Linked DNA regions of Cricetulus griseus. The protein of the gene in region 1 purifies or fractionates together with the protein of each later gene. This does not show direct contact. Links are inferred from orthologs where the notes say so. Each region holds a gene or a part of one and is shown in the gene's direction. Other genes may lie near its edges. The genes, in order: Plk1, Wdcp, Satb2, Spag9, Ccdc6, Prrc1 and Mtmr4.

Region 1 (4,010 bases):
GCGGCCAGAGTTGACTTTTTTAGGAAAGTCACTCACCTGCACTGTGTGGCCATTCCTTTTAAGTGTTGTAAATTTTTTTTTTTTTTTTTTTAAATGAAGGCCAACAAACACCCCTGCTGGGCAGATTTGGCCCTGCTACTTTGCTAGCACTCTCCAACCAGCCATCCCTCCCTCTGACTAAAAAAACTAGTTTTCTCTATTTGGAGCAACTTAGGACAAGCCAGGTAACCTTGCATTCATGCTCCTAAATTTGCTCCGCGAACCTGGCCGGGCCGGTGCAGAGATCTTGCTCTGCTCCTCTCCTCCCCGAATTCAAACGCAGCGAGAGGGGGGAGAGAGCTGATGCTTTTCTTTTTTTCTTTTCTTTTTTGGGTTTTTCGAGACAGGGTTTCTCTGTGGCTTTGGAGACTGTCCTGGAACTATCTCTTGTAGACTAGGCTGATCTCAAACTCACAGAGATCTGCCTGCCTCTGCCTCCCGAGTTCTAGGATCACCTTGTGTAGGAATCACCTGACAGTCTTGTTTGACCTGCAGGTCAGACCTGGGCGGTTTCTTTCCTTCGAGGGTAGGGGGGAAGGAATGTTGCCTGGTAGCTGAGGCTGGCCTTAGGCTAACTTGCAATCTTGAACCCACGCTCCTTCTTAAGGAGTTCCTGGGTGTTGCAGATACTGCTGACCCCTGGGTTTTACTGGAGAAGTCTAGAGCTCCTTTCAATTCGGGCTCCGGGAGTGGTTGCCACAGAGCTTCCTTTTGCCTGCCAGACATGCTGGGTTTGTTCAGGTTTGGGTTTATATAGACTAGCCAGGGAGACGGCAGTCGAGGGCGAAGGCGGTGCACTGCCAAGCTACCTCTAGGCCTGGAGTTTCAGATCTAGAAGGCCAGGAGGAGTGGAGGAAGGTGTTAGTTAGGTCCTAACTGGAGAAGCCTCTGGAGGAGGGGCATGAACCACAGGAGCATTCTCTGGCCGAGGAGCAGAAAGCCGGACCGAATTCTGTCCCCTGGGTATTTCCGCGTATTCCATCCGCTCCTAGTTTCCCAGGGTATCCCACGTGCATTTAATCCTTAAGTCCCAGCCCATCAAGTTTCTCCTCACAAGATCGGGGGTTTAAAAGCGGCTGCGCCGTAGAGCACTCCCATGGTGCCGCGCGCTGGGCGGGTTTGTATTTTAAATCCCCGCGGCCAATCAACAACGCGCAGGTCCTTGTAACGTTCCCAGCGCTGCGTTTGAATTCGGGGAGGAGCGGAGCAGGGCAAGATCTCTGCACCGGCCCGGCCAGGTTCGCGTAGCAAATTTAGGAGCATGAATGCAGCGGCCAAAAAGCTGGCTCGAGCACCAGCCGATCTCGGGAAAGCTGGGGTTCCTGGAGATGCAGCTACCGGTGCCCCAGTGACCGCCCCGCTGTCGAAAGAGATTCCTGAGGTCTTAGTGGACCCACGCAGCCGGCGCCAGTATGTGCGGGGCCGCTTTCTGGGTAAAGGAGGATTTGCCAAATGCTTCGAGATCTCGGATGCAGACACAAAGGAGGTGTTCGCAGGCAAGATCGTGCCGAAGTCTTTACTTCTCAAGCCCCACCAAAAGGAAAAGATGTCTATGGAGATTTCTATCCACCGCAGCCTCGCACACCAACACGTCGTAGGCTTCCACGGCTTTTTTGAGGACAGCGACTTTGTGTTTGTGGTTTTGGAGCTCTGTCGCAGGAGGGTGAGTGTTTCTGCTGTGGTGTTGGGGCGACCACACCGGGAACTTGCTGGCAAAGAGGCATCGACGCCTTGGAGTGGCCTAGAGGAGTGCTTGGGTTTCAAGCAATTATGAAGGGGCTCCTGGTGAGGGTGTTTGGCATTCCGAGCTGCTGAGGCCGGGGGTTGAGGGCAAGCGGAACCCGGGACCTGTTGCTATTATTAGGGAAGGTGGCTCCTGCACGCAAGACTGCCAGTAGGTGCAGGAAATGGGTGTTTAAAGTGATTAACAAGGGTCCCAAGCTACGGCTGCCGCGGACCTAGAACTTCCGGAGTGGAGTGGGGCAGGGTCTGGAGTGGGGGAGGGAGGAGAGGCTGTCTGGAGTCAGACCTCAGCTTTCAGGAAAAGGAGAGGGTCTCCTGCTGGGAGGAAGCCCCTAAATAAGGGGTTGAGAGAAGACGCTGGGTAAGGGTACTCGTTAACAGGAGAGGGGTCCTGTGAATGATAATGGCCTGACCAGTGTATGGACAGAACCATTAGGAGCCTGCCAAGACATAAGAATTATGGGTTAATAAGTGGAAGAGTTAGCTAAGCCTGTACTATAGGCCGAGCATTTATAATTAATATAAGCCTCAGAGTAGTTATTTGGAATCGGCTGGTCGGGATAGGAAACTTCCGTCTATACTTTACTCCCGAGGGTTTAATCTTGGCCACATCCAGCTGGCCACCCTTTTCCTTGGGCTTAACTACCTTCTTCCCTCTTCCTCAGTCTCTCCTGGAACTGCACAAGAGGAGGAAAGCGCTGACCGAGCCCGAGGCACGCTACTATCTACGTCAGATAGTCCTGGGCTGCCAGTATCTGCACCGAAATCAGGTCATTCACAGGGACCTCAAGCTAGGCAACCTCTTCCTGAACGAGGATCTGGAGGTGAAAATAGGTGAGGTGCTGGGCCTGCGGGTGTCTGGTGCCAGTACAAGAGGTGGCAAGGAGGGGAACTCTGGGAGAATGGGAGCCAGAGAAGTGGAAGGTGGGTGGGAAATGGAGGTGCTGCCCTCCAGAAAGCCTTCTTGTCCAGAAATGGAAAGTAAGTGTCCCACAGGCCAGTGTTTTGCTGTCCCTTTACTGAGCTGAAAAGCACCTTTTCCCTTGAGACTCTGATTTGCCTCAGTCCCTATACTCCTGTCACTTTTCTTAAACTTGTCACAGTCACAAAGAATATTTACTTGATTCCCTAGTGCATCCAATTCTGCTATCCTATGTATTTTAAATTTCATATATGTGGGGTTCGAGATAGAAGGTAACTTTCTGGAGTCAGTTCTGTTCTTCCATTGTGGGTTCCAGGGTCAACTCAAGTTGTTAGTCTTAGCGGCAAGCACCTGTACCTACTGAGCCATCTTACTTCCCTAGCCCTGCTATCTAAAGAGGAGTGTAAAGGGCAGTGGGAAGGTTCGGGAACAGAGACTGGAGTCTTGAGGCACTGGCTCTCTATGGTCAGTCCTGAGGCAGTTGTCTGCAGCCACAAGATGGCCTAGCAGCTAATCACCTCTCTTCTTCCCTCTGTCCCAGGGGACTTTGGGCTGGCAACCAAAGTGGAATATGAAGGTGAACGAAAGAAGACCTTATGTGGCACTCCTAACTACATAGCTCCCGAGGTGCTGAGCAAGAAGGGACACAGTTTTGAGGTGGATGTGTGGTCCATTGGGTGTATCATGTAAGTTGGGAATGGACTCAGGAGCTATTGGGTCTCAACAGGATTTTCTGAGGCATTTCATCCAGTTGACCTTTCCCTCTGGATCCCACATGAAGCCCCTTTTCCTTATTTATCAATCTATAGCATTCCTGTAGCTTGGACTTATGGTCCAGGGAAGGGACCAAATGTGTCTACACTTCTTCCTCCAGCTCCTTGCTGCTTACTAAAAGCATGCACTAACCCAAACCATCAATACCTCTGAGGGTTTGTTAGGATGTGGAAATCTCAGTTCTGGACCTGGGTCTAATAAAATCCCTGGCTGACTTTCAGTAAAGCTTTGGAAACACTGATGAGTGCTGATGGGAGAATCAGATCAGCAGAAAGGTTCATGGTAGGCAGAAGCTCCATCATGGTGCTTGTGCCTGTGGCAGATAGCAGTGGCCTCTGCGGTTCTTGAGGAGTCCTCTATTACTGCAGGCCAGAGCTGGGGAATCTCTAGCGCTTGGTATTCAGTGTTGTCACCTGCATTCTTCTGAGGGCTTATCCCAGCCATTGGCTTCTATGAGACTGAGCAGACTTGGAGATCAGCCTCATCCGTTCTGAGTCAGTGAATCCAGCCCAGCTCCCTTCCTCTAGACAAT
Region 2 (4,082 bases), on another chromosome or scaffold:
CATATTTATTTAGCACCCACTCGGTGCAAAGCTCCAGGGAGTCCACTCAGTCCTACAGACTAGGAGGGAAAACCAGTAATTAACACTTTAAATACATGTGCTCAGTGCCATGGGGTTTAGAGTACAACGGAAGCATCCGAGACTGATAACTAACCCTGGCTAGGCTTCCCGAGTCTACAGGAGTAGAACAGAGGGAGGGACAGAAACCAATAATTGATGATTTTACCCCAAACACCTTACACCCATATTCAATATACCTCAAAGTTCTGAGTCAGGTATTATTGGGGTCTCACTTTTCAAGGCAAAGGATTGCTCCCTGGGGATTCCAAATTGAATTAAAGCAGAATCGCTGTGCTGCGGGTCCTAGCTGAGGATATAGCTACAGCTTGGAGCAGGAATGAATGAATTCCTTTACCTCTATCCAAAACTGACAGGAATCTAGAAAGATACTTTTGTCCTTTCTGGTTCCTCTACCTCGGTGGTGCTGGAAATTGAACTCAGGGAAGTCAGGGCCTCTTCACACACGCTAAACAAAAAGAGGCTACATCCACAGTTCCTAGGAGGTAGCGTTTTCTTGAAGGCTGGAGGACACTTTCAGAACGTCCCCTCACCCTTTCTGCAAAAATCGGCCTGTTGCTTCTGACAAGAGACGACTGGGAAGTGAATATGGGAAAAAGACCTATCCAAAGGCCCAGAATTAGAACCTGAGGCGTTTCCCTACTCCACTCTTCCACGTGGCTAGGTCGCAGAAAGAGGACTGAAGTTGACGCTCAGGAAAGATGGTTTACCTTACAGTGCAGATCAGGACTTGAAAAACCCCGCGGGCGTGGCTTAGAGTCTTAAGGGCTGCAGAAGCTTGAGACCTCCAACCCTATTGGCTATGGCCTCGAGCAGGTACTTTCTGATTAGGGGTACAACAGATCTGCGACTTGGGCAGGCCTAGGAAGCGGCTTCGGGTGAATGGGTGCTATTTACATTTTGGGAGCGATATTTTACGCGATTTTAAAAGGGAAGTCTCTGACTCCCCGCTCCCAAACTAAGACCAATTGACCCATGTTGACCCTAGGACTTCAATTTCTTCTTAACAACCTCTTCTAACAGAATGGATGAGACGTGCGAGGGAGAAGGGGTTGAAGCGCTTAAGACTGAGTGCGAAGATTTACGGGCGGTGGTTTTCTCGGGAACTACAACTCCCAGAAACCCTTGCGGCAAAACTCTCGCTTACTGGCTAGCGGAAGGACCCGCTGCTAACGTGACGCACCCAATAGCCAATAGACTAGAGGCATTGCCGAGGCCCGAGGGCCGTGGCTTCCGTTAGTTGCCCGGGACTTCTGATCCCCCGTGCTGTGATGTGAACCGACCTCGCGATTTTTATGTGTGGGGCGGGGAGGCAGAGAGACCAAGGTATTTCGTGTCTTTTGCGGCCACGCCTGGTGGTTGTAGGGAGGCTGGGGCTGGGCGAGGAGATGGGGGGCACGTAAGGCCCAGGGATGCAGGCGTGGGGATGAATGAGTTGAGGAGTACGTGGCGGATGGTGTGTGAGGGACAGTAGGTTGAGGACCAGGCTGTTATGGGTTTTTAACAAGTGAATGTATCCCTTGGGACTCATGAATGGTACTTCTGGTAATTTAGCCTAATTTGTAATAGGGTAAAGTCGTCTACGAACTTTGAGGTGCCTCAGCAACTCGAACTGAGAAGTTCTGTCACAAATCACAGTAGCTGAGTTTTTTTGGTTAATTGCAGAAGGCTCTGTAACCGGTTAGTCAGATAAGCTGTAGCCAAAACGTTGTCTCTGTCTTACTTCTCTGTCTTACATCCTTTTGGGGAGGCAGAGGGTTTCTTGTTGTTGCTGTTACTGTTTTGTTTTGGTCTAGTTTGGTCTTGTTGAGATTGGGTATCGTTTTGCTTGCCTGTGCTAGCCTGAAACTCACTGTCCAGACTGACCTTGGACTCGAGGCAGTGTGTGTTGCCCCAGCGTTTGTGCACTTGCTTTGGGACATGGTTGAAAGTCATAGGATAACTTCTGTGAATTGGTTCTCTCCTGCCGCTCTGTGGGATCCAGGGATTGAACTCAGGTATCTATCAGGCTTGTGCACAAACCCTTATTTATCTGCTAAGCCGTCTTGCTAGCTTTCTGAGTTTTTTGTTTTTTTTTTTTTTTTTCAATAACGAGAATTTTTTTGTTTTGTTTTGTTTTGTTTTGTTTTTCGAGACAGGGTTTCTCTAACAGCTCTGGCTGTCCTGGAACTCATTTTGTAGACCCGGCTGGCCTGGAACTCACAGAGATCCACCTGCCTCTGCCTCCTGAGTCCTGGGATTAAAGGCGTGGGCCACCACCGCCTGGGGATGGGACAGCTTTTATGTGTTGGTTTATCCTGGCACTTTGTGGAAGGCCGGGATTGGACTCAGGTCATCAGGCTTTTGAGGCAAACACTTTTACCTACTAAGCCATCTTGCTGACTGTTTGTTCACTCCATTATTCTGGCATTCAGACTCTTTCATGCCCGGCTCCCTTTGGGGGACAAGATCTCACTATGTGCCTCACTAAAGGAGGCTCACACCTTTAATCTCAGCACTCGGGAGGCGGAGGCAGGAGGATCTCTGTGCGTTGGAGACCATCCTGGTCTACAAGAGCTAGTTCCAGACAGCCTCCAAAGCAACAGAGAAACCCTGTGTCGAAAAACAAAAAACAAACAAAAAAAAATTAAAAAAAAAAAAAACCTCACTATGTAACTCTAGCTGGCCTGGAAATCACCATGTAAACCAAGCTAGCCTCAAACTCCCAGAGATCTGACTGCCTTTCCCTCCTTTAGACAAAGAGACCAAGTTAAATATATATATGTAGCAAATAATACAAGCCCTTAATGTATTGTTAATACCCTTTCAAAGAACTTCATTATTCTTAATTTTGGGGGAGGGTGTTAGGGATTGAACTGAGGGTTGAGCATTCAAGGTTGAAACTCTACCAATGACTCACATACTCAGGTCCAGAGTATGTTTTTATATGCTGAAGATGTGTGTCAAATCATCAAGTTGCTGAATAGAAGAGAAAATGGAAATTAGATAATAGACTTTTTGTTTGTTTGTTTTGTTTTTCTCGAGACAGGGTTTCTCTGTTGTTTTGGAGGCTGTCCTAGAACTGGCTCTGTAAAACAGGCTGGCCTCGAACTCACAGAGATCCGCCTGCCTCTGCCTATAGAGTGCTGGGACCAAAGGCATGCACCTCCACCACCTGGCTTAGATAATAAAAGTAACTTTTAGTTTTTAATTACACATATTCTAACTTGAAAGTACCACAAATAGCTGGATATGGTACTCACACCTTTAATCCCAGCACTTAGAAGGTTGAGGTAGGAGGATCACCAAGAGTTTGGGGCCAGCCTGGACTACATAGTGAGTTCCAGGTGAGCGTGGGCTTCAGAGTGAGACTCTGAAAAGAAGTCAAGTAATGCTGGGCAGTGGTGGAGCACACCTTTAATCCCAGCACTCAGGAGGCAGAGACAGGTGGATCTTTGTGAGTTCAAGGCCAGCCTGAACTACAAAGCTACACAGAGAAACCCTGTGTCAAGAAACAAAAACAAAACAAAAAAGTAGTCAAGTAAAAGATAGTGACTGGCAAAGTGACTTGGTGGGTAAAGGTGCTACCAAGCCTGAAGATCTGAGTTTGATCCCCAGAGCCCATATAGTAGAGGTGAAAAAAATGGACTCGCCAAGTTGTCCAGTGACCTCTGTACACTTGAGCATGTGCACACATACGTAAACTGAGATCAATAAAAGGAGTTTTTTAAAAAATTAAAAGACGGGCCATGGTTGTGCACACTTTTAATCCCAAGCACTGGGCATGCAGAGGCAGGCAGCTCTCTGTTAGTCTGAGGCCAGCCTGATCTACAGAGCAAGTTCCAGGACAGCCAAGGCTGTGCAGAGGCCTGTCTTAATGCCATCCACCCCCAAAAGAGAACTGAAAAGGGATCCTGAAGAGAATGTTCAGTGGTTTACAGCACTTGTTGCTCTTACAGAGGACCTGGGTTTGGTTCCAGTATCCATGTGATGTTTGCAACCATCTGTAGCTCCAGTTCCGAGGT
Region 3 (4,030 bases), on another chromosome or scaffold:
CTCCAAAGTCGAAAGTACTCGGCGCAGTTAGCAGAGCCTGGAGACCAGGCAGCGCCTGCCGCCTCCCGCGCGCCAGTCTGCGCCTCTGCGGCGAGCCGCGACACCGAGCGCCCGCCTAGTAGCCGCAGCCTGCGCGCCGGGACGAGTGCGCCTAGGGGCTGGGCGAGGCGGCTGCTCCCTGGACTTGCCACAAGGAGGAGGACCAGACCCTGGGCCCTGGCGTTCGTCAGCGCCCAGACGCACCCATCCGCCGGCCGTGGCCACCGCCTCGCGCCGCACTCAGTCCTCAGCCATCCGTCCTTCGTCGCCCGGTGCATGAGGTCCTTGCCACCCCGCTCCCACCGCCAACTCTCCCCTTCCTCCTCCTTTCTCCCTGCCTCCCACCCCCTCGCCTATCCCTATGCCTCCTCCGCAGCCCGGCTCGTTGGATCGCCGTGCTCACAGCGATTGATTGATTGATGTTTAATTTCCTGCCAGGCGGGGCCCCCCTCCCCCCGCAACCTCCCCAGCCCTCCTCCCCGCCCCCCACTCCCCTCCTTCCTTGCGGTGGACCAGTCTGGCTTGGGTTTAGATCCGTCCCCCCCATTCCCATCCCGAAATAACCCAGAGACTTCCCCTACCCCCACCCCAAATTATTATTTTGAAGGCGCTAGATCTGGGGACCGAAAGGGGGAGGGGGAGAAATCGGAAACCGAGGACAACCCAAAAGGACTCACTTTGCCTGATGACTCAACGCAACTAATAATCATCTCCCTCTCAGTGTGTCTCTCTCTGTGGCTTGTCAGTGAGTCCGGCTCTGGCTTCTGGCAGAGGCGGCCGCGAGGGGAGAGGTTGGAGGTGACAGCTTGGGCGGCCGCTGCGTTTTCTCTTGCTCACGGTCCGGGGTCTCCGCGCCTTCTCCGCTCTTGGTGGCACGGTCCCCGCGGCTCCGGCCGCGCCTCCTCTCGAGCTAGTGGCGGTACAAGCCGGCAGCCGCCGCAGCCTCCCAGTCCTTAGCCCTTTCTCTCCAGAACCGGTCTCCTTCCCGAAGGTGTGAAAGGCTCTTTCAGCCCCCTCTCTCCCCCTCCTCCGCCGTCCCCTCCCCCGCTCGCTCGGGTGCCCCTTAGGAGGAGTCCTCCTTTCCCTCTCCTCCTCCTCCCTCATCCCCCCCCCCCATCATCATAACAACCATCTCCGAACAGAAGACACCCTGACCCAGGACCTTAAACGCTAGGACCCGGGGAAGAGGAAAAGGAAGGGGGAAAGAGGAAAGAGAAAGGAAGACTAGGACAACACTGCAAATCACCAGAAACTTTCCACCCTGGATTCTCTACTTTTGCTCCATGGACAGAGCCCCAGCCAGCCAAGTTTCAGACAGACCGTGAGCAGTAAGTATGCTGGGCGAGGGCTCTCGCGCGGCGCCGGGAGTTCGGGAAGCCCAGGGCGCGCTAAGTTCCTCGGTCGTTCCCGGCTCCGGCTCCCGCTCTCCCGCGCCTTAGGCGAAGCCGGGAAGTGCGGTGGAACCCTCTCCCGGTACCCTTCGCACACTCCCTACATCTCTCGAATTCTGCCTTCCCCTCTCTGTCACCTCTACCTTGTCTCTTCCACCCGCAGCGCCTAGGCTTCTCCCGCATCCAAAGCGCCCTGGAGGATTCTCAGAGCCCCAGGTGTATTCGGGGTTCCTCTCCCGAGTGTCAGTAACAATTGGGGCGCCGTTTCATCAGGTGTTTTCCCTTCTTCCGGGTCACTCCTCCAAAATTGAGAGTACTGCGGAGAACTGCGTGGAGCGCTGCCCACCTAGGAACCCCCGAGAAAAACTTCCCAGATTTAGAAATTAGGACTAATGAGGTCTGCTCCCGCATCGGATAATCTAAATTTCTTTCGCGTATGTTTTATGCTTATTGGCTTTTTAAAAAGCACTCAAGATCAGATAAAGATAAGAATGCTCCGAAATAATTGTAATCTTGTGATGGAGCATAGCCTACAAACCTCAAAGTGTTTGGGATGCTCATTCCTGTGGAATTATAGTTACTTTTTTGTGCAAAAGTGTGTGTGTGTGTGTGTGTGTGTGTGTGTGTGTGTGTGTGTGTGTACACAAGTGTACTCGTGTACTTGATCCATAAAGGTAAAAAGCGGGGATTCCATGGATCCATTGATCAAGTCTTTGGCTCCTGCCTGGCCATTCACAGCACATTTATCAAGCAATTAATTTGCTTAAGGATCCGTGTATGTCCTGGCTCCCTCCCAGGCCGGGTGGGACCTCTTGCTTTGAAGTACTCTCATTTCAAAACCCTGACCACCCCCAAGTGGGGGCTGGGGGCTCTCCATCGGAGAAGGGCTAATGCCAGCGTTGCCCGCTATGAATGGAGCACTAAGTGCTATGAACTGCGACTCTGTCCATGCCATTGAGGGCTAACTCTTGGGACCTGCAACTGAGCAGGTCTCAGTACCTCAAGTTCTGGGCAGCTTTGGAGCCTCCAGTTTAAGGTTGGGATCCGCTACCCGGGGCCCCTTTGGGACCTTTCTGAAGCGTGGGAGGAAGTTTGTGTGGCTGCGGTGCAGCGCACTGGCCTGATCGTCTATCACGTGTGTGAGCGGTTTTCCCTCTTTTTTTTTCCCTCCCCCTTTCCTCCCCTCCGCCCCCTCCCTAGGTCCCTGCGCGTTTTATTGCGACCTGCCGGTGGGAACTTTGTCTCCAAATCGGAGCAGCATGGAGCGGCGGAGCGAGAGCCCGTGTCTGCGGGACAGCCCCGACCGAAGGAGCGGCAGCCCGGACGTCAAGGGGCCTCCCCCGGTGAAGGTGGCCCGGCTGGAGCAGAACGGCAGCCCCATGGGAGCCCGCGGGAGGCCCAACGGCGCCGTGGCCAAGGCCGTGGGAGGTAACAGCCCGGAGCTGGGAGGTGCGCGCAGCCGGAGGCCCAGTGATAATGGCCTGGGTGTCAGGGTTCAGGTTGATTAGGCGCTGTTTCGGTGTAGGATTACAGGAAGTCAAATCCAGGTTGCCAAATAATGCCCTTGTCGCCTCTCCGCAACTGGTAGTAGCTTCATCTCGAGTTAAAACAAGAAAGTGGTTTACCCAGAGGGTGGCATTTTTTGGGCACTTTGCCACCGTGTGCCGAGGTGTTGGCAGGTCTGTGTCACAGCCAGCTAACTGTTTCTAGATTTTCCTAGAGAGCTCTTTCGTGTTTAACTCCTTTGCCTTGCCTCGGATCTGTTCTAGGGCTGGAGCTTGTATGCTTCGATTTTAGTGGGACAGAGAGGGAGAATCAGCCTAGAGCAGGAGAGATGGTTTTGGTGTTTTTTGGTAGCAGGGACAGTACCGAGAGACAAGTTCTAGGAAAAACAGAAGTACCGTAAATCCATTATGTTCTTAGTGGATTTGATGCTGAAAGTTGCCTGCAGAGTCTAGACGTCGGCATTTGTAACTTTGTTAGGAATTAGAGAATTGGGTGAAAAATAGCGAGCAGTTTTATTTGCTGCCTGCTGCTTCCCCACCCAAAATTTAAATATTATTTAAAGACAGCCTTTTGATGTTTTCATTACTTCTACAAATACTTTCTTTAAAGTGGTTAGTAAAGTAACCTTACAAAATAGGACCAGAGAAAAATTTAAGTACTAAAATAATTTTTAGGTTGCAGGCCAGTCAACTAGCTGTCTCTTAAATATGAAATGTACAAATTTACATAGTATTCAGACTTTTTTTGTTTGGGATAAATCATGCCTTTAATTTTATTATGCCAGAGATTCCCCTTCAACCCAGATGTTTTCAGCAGCAAATTATGTTTAATGTAATTCTTCATATTGACCAGCATAAAATGATACAAATTCATGGTAAAGCTTAGTTGTAAGGCCCCACCCTCATGTCAGTGGTGTACATTGAATTTTGGAGTAAATATTTAATTTGCACCATCTCTATGTGCCTAATAAGATGACACTTCTCTGTTTTTAATTATTTTTCTCTGTGGTAGACATTAAGGGTCACTTGCCTCAATTCTTTAAATTGGCCATTTCTCTTGAGAAGGAGCCTCCTCTCAATTTTTAAAGTTTTGAA
Region 4 (3,500 bases), on another chromosome or scaffold:
GGTCTAGGAATCTTATCTAAGCAGTGTTAGGTTTAGCAGGCTGTTTCATGAAACACCAGAGCAACTGTTTGCTAAATTTAATTGTTGACTCTGTGTATCCCATGAACTTCCTGGGTCTCTGGCTCTTTGGAGAAAAGAGTACAACACCTATCTAATAATACGTTTTTTGTTAACACAGGGCATCACGAGAAAATCCAGCCATGCAAGAAAAAAAAAGGTCAAGCATCTGGCAGTTGTGAGTATACATACTGAGGACCATAAGCATAGGAGATGTGTCAAGATGAGAACATTATACTGACTTTTCCTAGTTAAGAGGAAACAGCTAAACTGAAATTCTTCTCTTTAATATACAGCATGCCAACTCGGTAAGCTATGCTTGAGGACCCAAAGTGGGCTATCGTAAGCTGCATTGTGTTGGTTATGCATTTGGTGGAATCTTCTGCCAGTTTACATAAAACAGTGGGGAATTATTTGTAAAATTGACAATTACATGAATCCCCATCAAAGAAAAGACGATAAATTTAGTATTTGTACTGCTTGCTTTGTCTCTGTGTGTTAAACTTTTATTATTTTTATACCAGAAGTATTGTGTGTTTACCGAAGTTAAAACTTACCCTTTTAGGATTAGTCTGTTTACTGGAAGCATAAATATTTTTAAACTGTGGACATGAAAATAGTTGCTTAAATTTAGCTTGGAAAATTCATGATATGAGTTAACTTGGTGATGTGACTGTTCTAAGTGCTGCACACTAAGCTTCTGCTGTCATCACACAGTTGTTCCCTTGCTGCCTAACAACCACTGTGATATTATCCCCAATAGGAACTAGCTAAGGAACCTGTGTATTGTGTTAATTCCGTAGAAGCTTTCTATATGCAGGCGCATCACTTTCATTATGGAACTTGTGTATTAAAGAACAGGCATCTGGCATTCTAAGCAATGGTTTCTTTACCCTGAATGTCCAAGTTTGGCTGTGACTGACTGCTCAGGCTGTGGTATAACTATAAAAACTGGTTTTGCTAATGTCTAACTCACTGCCTGGAGCATAAAAAATTATGGAAAATCGGGGATTGGTTTTCACAGTGCATGTAATAAATATACTTGTGGATTTTGTTTGTTTGCTTGTTTTATTTTATTAGTTTCAGCCGACTTTTTAGCTCTTCAAGTAATACAACAAAGAAGCCTGAACCCCCCGTGAATCTGAAGTACAATGCACCCACTTCTCACGTGACTCCCTCCGTAAAGAAAAGGAGCAGCACCTTATCTCAGCTCCCTGGTGATAAGTCCAAGGCATTTGATTTCCTTAGTGAGGAGTAAGTATTGCCAGAAATGGTCATGCCAAGAGTAAGTTCATAGTTAGAATCTCTCCCCCTTACAACACAGGAGTTCATATAACACTAAAGAACTATTTCTAGCCAGACGTAATAGCTTAGCCTGTTAATCCCAGGGTGCTGATGCAGAAGGATCATCACTAGTTCATGTCCAGCCCAATCTGTATAGACAATTCAGGCTAGCATTAGCTATACACTTAGCCTCATCTTAAAGAACAAAGGAAATTATTTTGTGGGGGTGGGGTTGTGGAGAGAAGAAGAAAAAAGAACATGGGTTTTTGTATCATGGATGGATGCCTTTAAGTAAATTACCTGTAGGACTAAGTAATGTAATCCTAAATCTGTGGAAACTGAGTCAGGCAGATTGCAATTTTGAGGACATCCTGGGCCACAGGGTAAGACTTTACACCCAAAATGCATGAATGACTTGTAGCCAGTACTTACGAAAGTTGCACTTCAGGACTAGTGCAGGCTTAGCAGGTAAGGGGGCTTGCACCAAGCTTGGTAAACTAAGATTGGTTCCTGGGTCCCATGTTTGGAAGGAGAGAATTCTACAAGTTGTTCCCTGAGCACCTCAGGCACACCATGGCACACATTCAAACATGCACACACACTGGATAAATAAAATGTAATACACATTTTTGAACAAAGAAAATTGCACTTCATAGTTTTCATAAGGAAAATGAATTTTTGTTGACACAACAGTATTGATAAATATCAATAGAAATACTGGATACTTAATTTAATCCTTAGTGTTTTAACATTTGCTTTGGTTGTCAAAAGGACTTGGTTTTCCCTTCTGACTCTACATGTGGACAGATTCATCTCTCAGAGCCCATCTTTTTTTCCTCTCTGAAAAATTATTTCAAAGGTGTTAGGTTAATATTGTACATTATGTGTAGTACTGACATACCAGTAGATTTTGTAAACTATGATTTATACAGAAAGTCACCTCACAAAAATTTAAATGACCAAAAGAAAGAGAAATTATTTTTAGAATCATTTTTGTATTTTACTCACGCTTACTAAGTCAGTTTGCCTTTTTGTCTTCTAAAATGAATGAATAGGAGCTAAAGAGATGGCTCAGAGGTTAAAAACACTGCTGTTCTTCCAAAGGACCTGTGTTTGGTTCCCAGCACCCACATGGTGGCTCGCAATGATCTGAAACTTCAGTCCCAGGGAATCCAATGCTGTCTTCTGGCTTCTGAGGACACCAGGCATTCAAATGGTGCATAGGCATCCATGTAGGCAAAACACATAAAATAATTAAATATTTTTTTAAAAAAGAGTGAAATAGTGAGTAGAATCTAAAAGTTTAATTTATATCACCCTCCTAAGAATACTATGGCACAATATCGGGCATTAGAAAATTCTCGGTATTTGTTAAAAAAGAAAAGGAAGATCCTAAATTACTTCAGAACTTTTTCCTTTCATATATAGCATCTGAAACCCCATAGTTTGATGACTAATAACTAACTCAGTTTCATACAACGTGCTGCTCCCACCAGCAGAAGGCTGTTTTTACAAACGTGGAAAGATCAGCTTTGGTATAATCCTTGTGTTCCAGTGTGTATGTGTGTGGGCGTCATATACCCCAGGGTGGTCTTGAATTCTCTGTGAAGTTAAGGTCGACTCAAATGCTGGGATTAGAGGTTTTATTGGATTCACTTAATTAAAATTGCAAATGTCTTTTTTTTTCTTTTTGTTTTTTAGAACTGAGGCTAGTTTAGCTTCCCGAAGAGAGCAGAAGAGAGAGCAGTACCGGCAGGTGAAGGCGCATGTTCAGAAGGAAGACGGCCGAGTACAAGCTTTCGGCTGGAGTCTGCCCCAAAAGTACAAACAGGTGACTTGGGAATGTGATGCAAGTGTCTAGCAGGAAATGCAGGTGAACTGAAAATAATATCATGATTTTCTCATTTCAGCCTTCTTGGACTTGGCACATTTAGAGAAATTTAGAGACTAGGTGTTTTCAGGCAATTTTTAGAGCCCTATCATGTAAACAAAACATTTTAGGCCTACACTCCTAAAAGACCAAGCATTTTTTTTATACAAACATGTACTCATGTGCACATGTGTGATTGTGAACTTCTACTTCCTGTTGAACTTGTCTGTAATTGCTACTTGAGGTTTTGCTTATTTTTCAAGTAAGAATGACAGAATCAAGCTGAACA
Region 5 (3,500 bases), on another chromosome or scaffold:
AGATTGCCTTCGTCCTCGTTTTTGGTCACTCTGTACTTGGGGGTTGGAAGGGACAAGGCTTCTGGGAATGGCAGGAAGATCCTGTCTCGGAGCTTTGTATGGGATAAAGGCGAGTTTCCTTTTAAGTTGATTATTAGTTCCCTGCCCCAGAATCCTGTGTTTGTCTCTGAGAAGCCTGTGCCATTCTGTTCCACACTGTTCTGAGTTCATATGTAGAATTACAAACAGCCAACCACAGAGCTTAAGAAAAGTGAAGATTTGAAATATATGTTAGGAAAAATCCTCCAGCCATAACCACTCAGCACTATGGTAGCAGTTCTAATACATTGAATCTTGAAGTTATTTTGTGATTGCGACCACATTTACCTATTAATTTTCTCAACTAGGGTAGAACTGCAGGTAAGTCCGTTTACAGTTGTGTCAAATTGAGAGGTAAACAATTCAATATAAAGCAAACCCCAGGAGCCCCCAGCAGCTTATAAAAGGTGGTTAAAGAGGGTTGCAGTTAGCCTGCCTTTTTGGAATGCAGTTAGAGGCTTTATGTACATATAATTGTATTGTTATTGAACTTAGCTGTAGGAAGTGGTCATTTTGTAGGTAAAATGCTGTTGAGCCTTTTCTGAGTTTTATCTGATAATGATAATTGGTAGGGAAGTGGGCACACCAGCCATTAACCAAATAATTCTGACTTGGTTTGGGTGTTTTTTTTTAACATTTTATTGTTGGCCCCAGTTTTCCAAACCTTCCACCCAAGTTTTACTTGGGAGGAGCTCTAGTGGCTATTAAGTAACTTCATCCTCCGGGGCAATTCATAGCAGTTCCTAAATTTCACCCAGAGCATCAAGAGGGGAGAATTTCTTTATTCCCTCCATCCTCCGCAGCCAGCTTGCTAACCATACAGTCAGCTAGGTTTGCTGGACTCTGGGCATAGTAACCAGAAACGTGTTCAACAGACTTCACAGTTATGATTGACTGCCAGGGTCACTCAAAGAGCAGAAGGAACAGGGATGATGGCTCCGTGGTGTCGTATTTGCTGCACAAAGCCTGAGGACCGGCCTGAGTTGAGATTCCCAGTACCCACATAAAGCTGGATACACTAGCCCATGCGTGTAATCCCAGTGTGCTCCTAAAGTGAGATGGGAGGTGGAGACAGGAGAATTCCCAGAAGCCTGGGGCCAGTTTACCTTGCTTAGCAGCAGAGAAGAAGAGACCTCGTTGCAGAGGGGAGAGGCGAGGACCCATACCTAAGAATGTCCTCTCACTTCCATGTGCGGGTACCCCAGGTACACCTGTGCTAACACCTGAACACACAATAAACACAACAGAAATGAGATCTTGCCAGTCTTCCTGTTTGACCAGTGATAATTGGTCAGGATGGACAGAGAGGTGTCAGTCTGTCCAATGGGCGATTTTCAGGCCGGCTCTCGGCTCAAATGCTGAATAGTGTTCTACCGCAAACTGTTATTCATTGTTTCTTTTTTTTTTTTTTTTTCCTTTTTCTTTTCCGTGAAGAATCCTACAGGAGAAACTAGATCAGCCCGTGTCTGCCCCACCATCACCTAGAGACATCTCCATGGAGATCGACTCTCCTGAGAACATGATGAGGCATATCAGGTTTTTAAAGAACGAAGTGGAGCGGCTGAAGAAGCAGCTGCGGGCTGCCCAGTTACAGCGTACGTGGCTCCCAACCCCCCGAGTTCCTGTCTGCTGAATCAGTGCGGGTACCAAGCCCACAGCCGTCCCTGTGCTTACTAGTGAACTCGTGGCGGCAGCCGTATCCATGGTGTACTTTATTAGCAGTGCGCAGACATTTGTACACGTGTTAGCTGTCTTTCTGGGATATAGTTTTAAAAAGAAAGCGATCACGGGGGGGGGGGGGTTGGCGGCAATAATTTAGAATACTTTCAGAAGATAAATTCTGATAATCTCAAGAGGGGGGTCACTGAGGTAGCAGGATCCCGGATATCTTCCTTCCTTCCTTGCCGAGATAAAATTCTCTGACTTAAGGGAGAATGTGCTCATTTGGCATGTGGGTTACAGCTCACGGTGACATGGGAAGTCACAGAGGAACCGGTCACATCATACCCATGGTTGGAAATGGAGAACGGTTGATAAATGCATACACGTGCTTGGCTACCTTCCTATTTAAATATGTATATATACATATGTATATATATTATGACTTCTTTGGGAATTCCGTGTCAAGTGTTTTGATTATAGTCACCATTTGCTCCTCCCCCTAGCTCCTCCCTCGCCCCCCAGCTTTGTGTCTGCATTTTATTTAACTCCCCGAACCCACTCATGCTGTCTAGGTACCCAAGTGGGGAGCCATCCATTGCAGCAGAGTCAGCCTGCTGGGTCCTGACTCCGACCTAGACCTCAAGAACACTGCCTGGGAACAGAGTCACTCACTATGCATGGCCTCCCACATCGATGGGTATAATTAAAATAATCCCTCCGTACCATGTTCTGAGTCCCCTTTCCATGTGGTTCTGTTACTGAACTTGGCTGGGGGAGCGGGTCACAACCTGTAACCCCAAATCAGGTCTGGCTACTTGTCCTCAGTGAGGCGATAAAAAGGCCAAATTCATAGTGGAAAGCAGAAAAGGAAGATTTAGTCACTGGCCACATTGGGGAAGGGGACAAAGAGCCAGCTAGACCCCTCAAGTCTGTTTTCCAGGTCCTACGGTGAGATAGAAGTTTACATAAGGGACCAAGGATTTGCACATGTAAGCAGCTCTGGTCAAAGCATGGTCCCACCCCTGGTGGATGTACCTTTGGGTTTGAGTCTCATCTTGTACTGTACCAAATCTCTTCCAAGGAGATAGGTTCCCCTCTGGCTGTCTCCCTCTCCTTCTCCCAGTGTGAGATTCCTGGGGGAAATTTCAATGTCTTTGGTGCCCACTGTTTCAGTAGTCTGATAGAGTAAAAGACAAAAGTGTTTTAGAGTGTTTGCATTTCTGCCTGTTAAAGTTCTAGACGGTATCAAATTGACAATTAAAACTACCAGGCCAGGTGACCTTTGTAGTCTGTTTGATGTGCTAATGAATCTGCACAGGGGCTCTCTGCACTTCTGCTCTGTGAAGGGAGGACTGTGGAGGGTGTTTGCCTTCCTTACTGCTGAATCTAACCTCAGCTGACATTTGCGCATGGTATTTGCAGAATAAATGCTTTTGAAATTTAGGCTTAATATTTTGAAAAAGGCCAAGTTGTGGAGTTGGAAGTCAGGGTCCTGGGTTTCTGAACTTGTCTGGGTCTCTCTGCATTTTTAGGGCTCTGCCCTCCTCCTGCAAATGTTTGGTTGCAGACATCTCTTCCATGAGGTAAAATAGTGGGAGAAGGGCTTCCCTTTCCCTGTTACTGCCAGGTGAGCAGTCTGCACAGGCCCATAACTAGTGTTCTCCCAGATGTGTGCGCGCATACAAAATTGCTTCATACCAAGAATTAGACAGTAATCAGGACACTCTGCATCTTTCTCTTTGAAAACACTTCTGTTTTTT
Region 6 (3,500 bases), on another chromosome or scaffold:
GACTTTTTAAATTTATTTAAACTGTTATAAAAATTGTTGCAAATAAAAAAATTATACACAGAAATGAACCAGACCCAAAGATTATGCAGACTTTTTTCAGACTAAAAAAAGTATTTTAAATATTGTGTGTGTGTGACATGTATGTGGGTGAAAACCAAAAAAGCAAAACAAAACAAGCCAGGCGTTGGTGGCGCACACCTTTAATCCCAGCACTCGGCAGGCAGAGGCAGGCGGATCTCTGTGATTTTGAGGCCAGGCTGGTCTCCAGAGCGAGTGCCAGGATAGGCTCCAAAGCTACACAGAGAAACCCTGTCTCAAAAATCAAAAAAAAAAAAAAAAAAAAAAAAAAAAGACAGGTATGTGGGTGCCTTTGCCTTTGGAGGCTAGAGGCTAGAAGACAGGTATGTGGGTGCCTTTGCCTTTGGAGGCTAGAAGAGGGTGTTAGATACCCTGAAGCACAAGTTCAGGTAGTTGTGAGCCATCTGATTGGGCACTGGGATCTGAACTCAGGTCCTCTGCAGGAACACAAGTGCTGTCACCTGGTGGGTCATCTCTCCAGCCTTGCAGTAGTCCTTCCTCCAGACATGGTTGTGTTAATGAGTACTAAAGGGAGACTTGCCTCTTTGTGGTCATTCTTAATTGTTCTCTAACTATGTGAGCTGCTGCCCCTGTGTGAAGCTTACCACATTTTTTATATATTTGCAGTGCATCATAATTGAGGAAAAATGATGGAAGAAAGTGGAATAGAGACAACTCCACCTGGAACCCCTCCCCTGAACCCTGCAGGCCTGGCTGCCGCTGCCATACCCTCCACGGAAGTTCACTTAGGTGGGTTGGAGGTTGGGGAAGACACTGGTCTCTCTGAATCAATTAGAAGAATATGTCGTTAATGCTTCTCTAATCTTGTCAGGGTGCAAAGAAATAGCCCTTTTAAATGTAAACAACAACACAGAAATAACCTTGCTTGTTACAAGTAAGGAAGTGTAATGTCTTGCTGTTAGCAGGTTTGCTCTCTCTGTTCATATTCACTACAAACCCTCCTGGCAAGCTTTCAAAGCATTTGTTGTCTGTTGTTTTTTGACTGTGGGGATTAATCTTTTTGAGGTATTAGTGGTCTAGGTTTTTATGTTCAAATCAGGGATGAAAAATGACCTTGTCTAAGAACAAATGGAAAGGGAGGTTTGCTCTCGGGCAGTGCTGTCTTTGAGTTGTGCTATTTCTCCAGTGGAATCACAGGGTCTGTACTCATGTACAATTGCTATGCGCTGGAAATTACACCTTTAAAATTAATTACTAAGATTTGGCTTACCACATTAGGAATTTCCCAAGCAGTGGAAGTTTGAAAATGAGATAAAAAGCTTTTTCAACTTTGTGTGTTTATCCCCCTTACTTTTTTTTTTTTTTTTCTAGCTGCAACCAGTTCCTTCTCATCTCCCAATGTGTCCAGGATGGAGTCCTTGCCACCACATGCGTATTCTACACCTCAGCCATCCCTGCCCCCTGTGCAGCCGTCAGCACCGCCTCCTTTTGTGCCAATGTCGATGTCTCCAGCTCCCTCGGTTCCCCTGAGTGGCACTTCAATGCCCCCCTCTGTGTCTTCATCACCTGGCACTGCCTTCAGCAGCCCACCTCTATCCCACTTCCCACCTGCAACTTCCGCCTCCGGTGCTTTTTTATCTGCACCACCTGCAGGTCCTCCTATATCGGGGTTTTCTGTTGGTACAGCTTATGATATCACGAGGGGCCACGCTGGGAGAGCACCCCAGACACCTTTGATGCCATCGTTTTCTGCACCTCCAGTCACAGGTGATCTTCTCTTACTGTTCCGCAGTACTCGGCAGTATTTGACATTTTATTACTGTGTGCCTGAATTATGTTGCACTGTGGTTTGTATATTAGACAGTGATTTGAGGTGGACAGTGTCGTACTTACTTTAGTTTCTGTATAGACTTTGACCATCTGCTGCTCCTAGGGCTTCGATTTCTCCACATTAATTTTCTAGTCTTACTCTGAATTCCAGTGTTTCCCATGCTCATCTCTTTGCCATTTAAGTTATTAACAATAAAGCTAATGTAACTTATTGTATAGTTTTTGGGCGGTATAAAAATTGATGCATGATTGACATTTGAGGTATGAGAAAGAATTCCCATATCCCCTATCATGTGTTTATCTGTGTAAACCTATGTAAGGGGGGAAATACCTTTTGAGTGATTTTTACATTTGTGTTTATAAAGGTTTGAGTTGATAATTTTATCTTTAGATGCTTAAGTAGTTCTGTGATTGAATTTGTTTTGAGCGTCTCATATGATACATCTTTTTATAGGAAAACATTTGTGGAATAAGTTACCCAATCAAATTTGTGCTCTTGACTAGGTATTTTGCCAGCCCCCATCACTCAACAAGCCAGTATGACTTCGCTGGCACAGGGACCTGGAACCACGTCAGCCATTACTTTCCCAGAGGAACAGGAAGATCCTAGAATTACTAGAAGCCAGGATGATGCACCTACTGGTGGGATCTGGGGTTTTATCAAGGTAAGGGTGTTTGCCTTTCAAGTTACTATTCTAATTGTAAAACTGACAGGGATCAATTAGAGAAACACAGCATAGGGAGGGAACACAATGTATAGAGTAAGGGAAAGCAAGCCCTTTATGGACAGATTTCTGTAGTTGGTGCTTGCTCATTGTGCATCTCTATACACATGTACTTGTTCTCTTAATTAGAATCCAGTTGGATTAGTGACATGGGTATTGTGTTCTTTGTCTTTTCTAGAAGACTTCATTAATGTCCTTCCAGCTGTAAAATTGTCTGTCTGTCTTAGTTTCTTGTGTATTTGGGGTCTGTGTATGTCTATATGGATTAATGTGTTCAAGGGTGTGTGTGTGTGTGTGTGTGTGTGTGTGTGTGTGTGTGCGCGTGTGTTGTGAATGTGGAGGCCACCATAAGGGGTCTTCTTCTGTTTACCACATTACTTTTTGGGGACAGGATCTGTCACTGAATTTGGAATCCATCCATTCAGCTGGGATGGCTTGCCAGTGAGCTCCAAGGATCCTCTCACCTGTGCTCCAGCCCACTGGTAGGGCATTAAGACATGTGCTGGAGTGCTGTGCTTTCTAAATGGGTGCTGGGACCCGAACTCAGGTCCTTATGCATCTCTCAGCTCTAAACCTTCTTCCTTTAGAATGTATTTCTTAATAACTACTTTGTCATCGATGCTGTTGCATTTATCATGTTTTATTTTACAAATCCGTTATCAGTATTATCTACTTGTAAGTTTTTAAATCATTTTTCTCTAATTGAGAAAAATGTGTAAACATATACACTTTTGTTCTTGTTGTTTGGGTAGTATTGAGGACTGAACCTGCGGCCTTACGTATACTGGTAAGTACTTCATTGCTAGCCTGATCCCAGCTCTCTTTTCACTCTTAGGAAGAGTCTCATCAATATGCCTTGGAGCTCACTCGGTATCCTGGGCTGACCTGAAGTTTGCAGTCCTCCTG
Region 7 (3,942 bases), on another chromosome or scaffold:
TCGTGTAGGGTAATGTTTGACACTGCTCAGCATTATTGTACTTTAAAAAAGTGCCACCAGATTTTTCTGTTCATCCCGGTCGCCAACCCCCCCAACCCCCCAAAGAAAGCCCTCGTTTCTGAAAGTTACCAGGTACAGGAAGTTGCAGAGTTCTAGCAAGCTCCTTCTGTTACTTTTGGAAACACTAAGCCCTTATCACTGACTACTCCTTCTTCCTTGGCTCACTACTGCCCAACTCCATTCATTCTTTCTACTCCTGGCTTTTGAGTTTTGTTTTTCTATAGCAACAGTGGCTCATAATCCCAGTTCTTCTCTCAGACGAAGAAGTTCTTCCAGGAGGATTTTCTTTTCCATTGTCCAGGGCATGTGAGGACCATGAAATAAAAAAATTAAAAAACAAAAAACAAAAAACAAAAAAACGGTTTCCCTTACAGAGATGGGAAATAGCCACTAAGATAACACCAGACCAATATTCTTTTTAGAGGACAGAGGAGTTTAGTGAAAGCAGGATAGTGGAAGAGGCCAATGAACCGAGCATAGGTTCAGAGGGAAAGAAGGAAGGCTTGGGGCTGCAAAGAACATGGATGGGCTCCATCTTGGGATCCGCAGCAATCATAGAGGGAGCTCTGAGAGGAGGGAAGAAGGTGGGAAATATTGTGTGACAAGGGTGTAGGGTAGCACACCTGGAAAAATGGGAAATGAAAAGGTGTGGGAGGACTCGCTTCCCCTTTCTGAGCCATCCCAGGGCGGTTCCTTGACCCACCCTAGAATGTCCCTAGAGGTCCGGGGCGGGTGGGGGGGGGCGGACGCGGACTGGGGGGCTACAAGGGAGGAGCCAGGGCGGCGGGCAGGGCCCTGAGAGCCGCTCCGCCTCCGCCTCCCCGGCGACGTCCTGGTCGCTCCTGTCCCTGGACTCCCCTCCCTTCTGCGTTCTTGTCGGAGGGCGGAGCCGGGCCCGCTCCATTGTGGAGAGGAGGGGAGAGGCGCGCGGGAGCAGAGGCTGGGTCCTGGCGCCAGGGCGCTTGCTTCTGGCCGCGGCTGCATCAGGCGGGCCCTGCAGCCGGGATGCAGCGGACGCCCGGGGCTGGCGGGCAGCGCAGCGGCTCCGGGGACATGTGCCCTGGCCCAGACAGCCCGCGACCATGAGCCTGACCGCCCGCGTCTCCTGCTCCATGCTTAGCTGCTTCGTAAGTGTCAGGCCTGTCCTGCCAAGGCCTGGGGTGAGGGTTGAGGGACGCTCAAAGCATGCTGTACCCACAGCTATGCCCAAGGACCCCCGCACGACCCCAACCAACCCTTAGGGGCAGGGGAGACAGGTTAGCTCCTTTCTCTCTCAGACTTGCTTCAAGAAAGCGGGTACTGGGGATTGTAGAAGGCCAGGGATAAAAATTCTGTGATTCTTTCTGGCTCTGCAGCCACTGCCCTTGACTGCAGATTTTCAGGCCCCGCCCTGCAGGGGTACATCCCATTACCTCCTCCTCTCCATCTTGGTCCCACCCGCTACATCCTTGCTTGGGGGATGTAGGATGTGCCTAGTAGGCTGTGTGGGATGTTAGGGGGCTGAACGAGGAGCTTGGATGTTTGTGAGCTGTCTCTAGGTCTCCAGTCCCCTCCCCCTCACTCACTCCATCGTTCACCTGACATACCAGCCTTTTCTCCTTGACTGTGCCCCAGACAGCCTCTCTTCTCCATCTTTCCTGCCTCTGCAGGGTTCTGTATCTCTGAATCATCCCCAGTCTTCCCCTCCTCCCCTCTGGCTAATGCTCCTTCCCAGCTTCCCCCATCTGTCCTCTCAGATGTCGTGTACCCCCCAGCTCCCCCCCCCCCCCCCGTAGGTGTCTGCCAGGCCTCCTCTCCCCTGGCTGTCCTTGGGTCTCCTGCTTCCTCCCTGAGCGTGGATTCCCTCTTTTCCTCTCCCTTGGTAATTGGGAGCAGAGTGACTTCTGCTTGCTATGGGTATTCCTTAGGAGTTCCCCTCAGATCAGCAGGCGGGGCGGGTTGCTTGGCACTTGGCAGGTAGTGGGGGCTTTTCAGCAGCACAGAGCCCAGTGTGAAGATAAGCTCAGCTCCAAAACACATCTTCCTTTTTGAAGGCATTCACAAAGGCCCTCTAGAGGCATGGGACTGAATCCCCCACAACCTCCTCCTTTGTCTCCACCCACCAGGTTGATGCCTGAGTGGCCAGAGTGGCCTGGTTTCCCTTCTCTCTCCAACTAGCTACCACACCTGGCTCCTGTTCCTCAGGTGTCTCTCTCTCAGTCCTTGTCTTATTTTGACATGAGTCTGACTTGTTCCAACCCTCATCCCCCCCCCCCACAGTTTTTGCAATGTTGGTTCTAAGGCGAAGCCTCTTTAAATTGTGTAGATCCCCAGCTCCTCCTTGGCTAACCTCATGTTTCCCTGAGTACACCTCTATGTCACCCTGCCTCCAGCCAAGCCCGGCCTCCTTTCCCTCCTCTAGGAACCAGAGCCTTTAGATCTATGATGAGGAGGGTGTCTCTAGGTTTGTTGGTAGAGGAGGAAAGTGAATGAGCCTCAGGAGCCAGGTGGGGTCTGGCAACTCCAAGGTTCTGGCCTCCCTGCAGGGTGAAGAGGGGCCTCCCAGCCTGGAGTACATCCAAGCCAAGGATCTGTTCCCCCCCAAGGAACTTGTGAAGGAGGAAGAGAATCTTCAGGTAAGGAAGAACAGGAGGCTCAGGGCAGATGGGCTTCCTGCCCAGTTAGTGCTCTAGACTCCCAAATCTTCAGAGGACCTACCAGAACTCTGGCTTCCTCCTTCTAGGCCTCTGAAGGGAGAGGGTGTGTGCATTGTTGGAGCCTTTACCCTCAGAGGAGAGGCAGTTTTCCTGGACAGCTGATGACTAATGTTCTGACTTTCGACTCTTCTTCATTATCCACACTTTTCTGATCGGTTCCTAGAGAACAGGGGCTGCAGAGAAAAACAAGGGAGAGGCTTGATTCTGGGCTAAGAGTTTCTCTGACCTTTGACAGGTACCCTTCACAGTGCTACAGGGTGAGGGAGTGGAATTCCTGGGCCGGGCAGCTGATGCCCTCATTGCCATCTCCAACTACCGGCTGCATATCAAGTTCAAAGACTCTGTCATCAACGTAAGTTCTCATCTTGCTTCCCTTACACTAAAGTGGTGTGCTTCAAAGTGGCATTGTTCCAGTTCTCTACCTGATTACGTCTCTAAAAACAGTTAGTACTCCCTTCTCTCTGCCTTTTGTATTTCATGCTTCATTCCTCTGTGTACAGGTTTGTGTGTCTCTCTTCCCCTCTTTCTTTTATCCTGTTTGGGCCCTACCTCCTTTAAAGATTTATTTTTTATTTTATGTTTATTTGTGATTACCTGCATGCCTGTATGTATGCGTTCCCTGTGTGTGCCTTGTGCCCGAGGAGACCAGATGAGGGTATCAAACTGGAGTTACAGGAGGTTGTGAGCAATTGTGTCAGTGCTGGGAAGTAAACCCAGGTTGGTCCTCTGTAAGAGCAGCAAGTGCTAACCACTGAGCTACCTCTCCAGCTCCCTGTGTAGGCTTTTAGAAGAGTATGGTAACAGTGGCATTATCAGAAGAACATAGACTTTGGAACCAGGCAAATTTGGCCTTTTATCTTGCACGGCCACTTCTGTGTCACCTTGGACAAGGGATGATGTCCTCCTTACCGAATAAAATCACCTGCCTTTAGGATTATTATGGTATTAACTGGTTACATGTGTGAAGTACTTGGCATAGTTACCAGGCCTTAAACAGACCCTCCGCAGATTCTGGCTTCCTTCTTTCCATTGGTGTGTCACCTTCCAGGCTAGGGTGTATTTGAACCTCACTTTGCTGTTCCACTGCAGGTGCCCCTCCGGATGATTGACAGTGTGGAAAGTCGTGATATGTTTCAGTTGCACATTGCCTGCAAGGACTCCAAAGTGGTGAGGTGAGCACAATGGG

What was found.
Region 2: the proteins of Plk1 (region 1) and Wdcp purify together in Homo sapiens (affinity purification with mass spectrometry; 4 studies listed by BioGRID and IntAct, with this or other methods). This does not show direct contact. The link is inferred for Cricetulus griseus from reciprocal best matches to the Homo sapiens genes PLK1 and WDCP.
Region 3: the proteins of Plk1 (region 1) and Satb2 purify together in Homo sapiens (affinity purification with mass spectrometry; 3 studies listed by BioGRID and IntAct, counting the BioPlex papers as one, with this or other methods). This does not show direct contact. The link is inferred for Cricetulus griseus from reciprocal best matches to the Homo sapiens genes PLK1 and SATB2.
Region 4: the proteins of Plk1 (region 1) and Spag9 purify together in Homo sapiens (affinity purification with mass spectrometry; 7 studies listed by BioGRID and IntAct, counting the BioPlex papers as one, with this or other methods). This does not show direct contact. The link is inferred for Cricetulus griseus from reciprocal best matches to the Homo sapiens genes PLK1 and SPAG9.
Region 5: the proteins of Plk1 (region 1) and Ccdc6 purify together in Homo sapiens (affinity purification with mass spectrometry; 3 studies listed by BioGRID and IntAct, with this or other methods). This does not show direct contact. The link is inferred for Cricetulus griseus from reciprocal best matches to the Homo sapiens genes PLK1 and CCDC6.
Region 6: the proteins of Plk1 (region 1) and Prrc1 purify together in Homo sapiens (affinity purification with mass spectrometry; 3 studies listed by BioGRID and IntAct, counting the BioPlex papers as one, with this or other methods). This does not show direct contact. The link is inferred for Cricetulus griseus from reciprocal best matches to the Homo sapiens genes PLK1 and PRRC1.
Region 7: the proteins of Plk1 (region 1) and Mtmr4 purify together in Homo sapiens (affinity purification with mass spectrometry; 3 studies listed by BioGRID, with this or other methods). This does not show direct contact. The link is inferred for Cricetulus griseus from reciprocal best matches to the Homo sapiens genes PLK1 and MTMR4.

The regions. Positions count from the first base shown.
Region 1 is NC_048596.1:78,505,948-78,509,957, reverse strand, and holds the start of Plk1 (serine/threonine-protein kinase PLK1), read left to right. Parts: upstream 1-1,210; 5' UTR 1,211-1,300; coding exon 1,301-1,702; intron 1,703-2,447; coding exon 2,448-2,616; intron 2,617-3,245; coding exon 3,246-3,390; intron 3,391-4,010. UniProt on the Homo sapiens protein: Serine/threonine-protein kinase that performs several important functions throughout M phase of the cell cycle, including the regulation of centrosome maturation and spindle assembly, the removal of cohesins from chromosome arms, the inactivation of anaphase-promoting complex/cyclosome (APC/C) inhibitors, and the regulation of mitotic exit and cytokinesis.
Region 2 is NC_048600.1:15,619,144-15,623,225, forward strand, and holds the start of Wdcp (WD repeat and coiled-coil-containing protein), read left to right. Parts: upstream 1-1,282; 5' UTR 1,283-1,404; intron 1,405-1,475; exon of another isoform or gene 1,476-2,075; intron 2,076-4,082.
Region 3 is NC_048595.1:411,291,761-411,295,790, reverse strand, and holds the start of Satb2 (DNA-binding protein SATB2), read left to right. Parts: upstream 1-1,230; 5' UTR 1,231-1,367; intron 1,368-2,630; 5' UTR 2,631-2,689; coding exon 2,690-2,879; intron 2,880-4,030. UniProt on the Homo sapiens protein: Binds to DNA, at nuclear matrix- or scaffold-associated regions. Thought to recognize the sugar-phosphate structure of double-stranded DNA.
Region 4 is NC_048600.1:107,006,896-107,010,395, forward strand, and holds part of Spag9 (C-Jun-amino-terminal kinase-interacting protein 4), read left to right. Parts: intron 1-178; coding exon 179-235; intron 236-1,137; coding exon 1,138-1,311; intron 1,312-3,042; coding exon 3,043-3,172; intron 3,173-3,500. UniProt on the Homo sapiens protein: The JNK-interacting protein (JIP) group of scaffold proteins selectively mediates JNK signaling by aggregating specific components of the MAPK cascade to form a functional JNK signaling module.
Region 5 is NW_023276806.1:267,514,379-267,517,878, reverse strand, and holds part of Ccdc6 (coiled-coil domain-containing protein 6), read left to right. Parts: intron 1-1,512; coding exon 1,513-1,673; intron 1,674-3,500.
Region 6 is NC_048595.1:181,592,320-181,595,819, reverse strand, and holds part of Prrc1 (protein PRRC1), read left to right. Parts: intron 1-705; 5' UTR 706-725; coding exon 726-828; intron 829-1,410; coding exon 1,411-1,806; intron 1,807-2,373; coding exon 2,374-2,534; intron 2,535-3,500. UniProt on the Homo sapiens protein: May act as a regulator of the protein kinase A (PKA) activity during embryonic development.
Region 7 is NC_048600.1:100,763,700-100,767,641, forward strand, and holds the start of Mtmr4 (myotubularin-related protein 4), read left to right. Parts: upstream 1-1,142; coding exon 1,143-1,187; intron 1,188-2,585; coding exon 2,586-2,675; intron 2,676-2,991; coding exon 2,992-3,108; intron 3,109-3,845; coding exon 3,846-3,928; intron 3,929-3,942. UniProt on the Homo sapiens protein: Lipid phosphatase that specifically dephosphorylates the D-3 position of phosphatidylinositol 3-phosphate and phosphatidylinositol 3,5-bisphosphate, generating phosphatidylinositol and phosphatidylinositol 5-phosphate.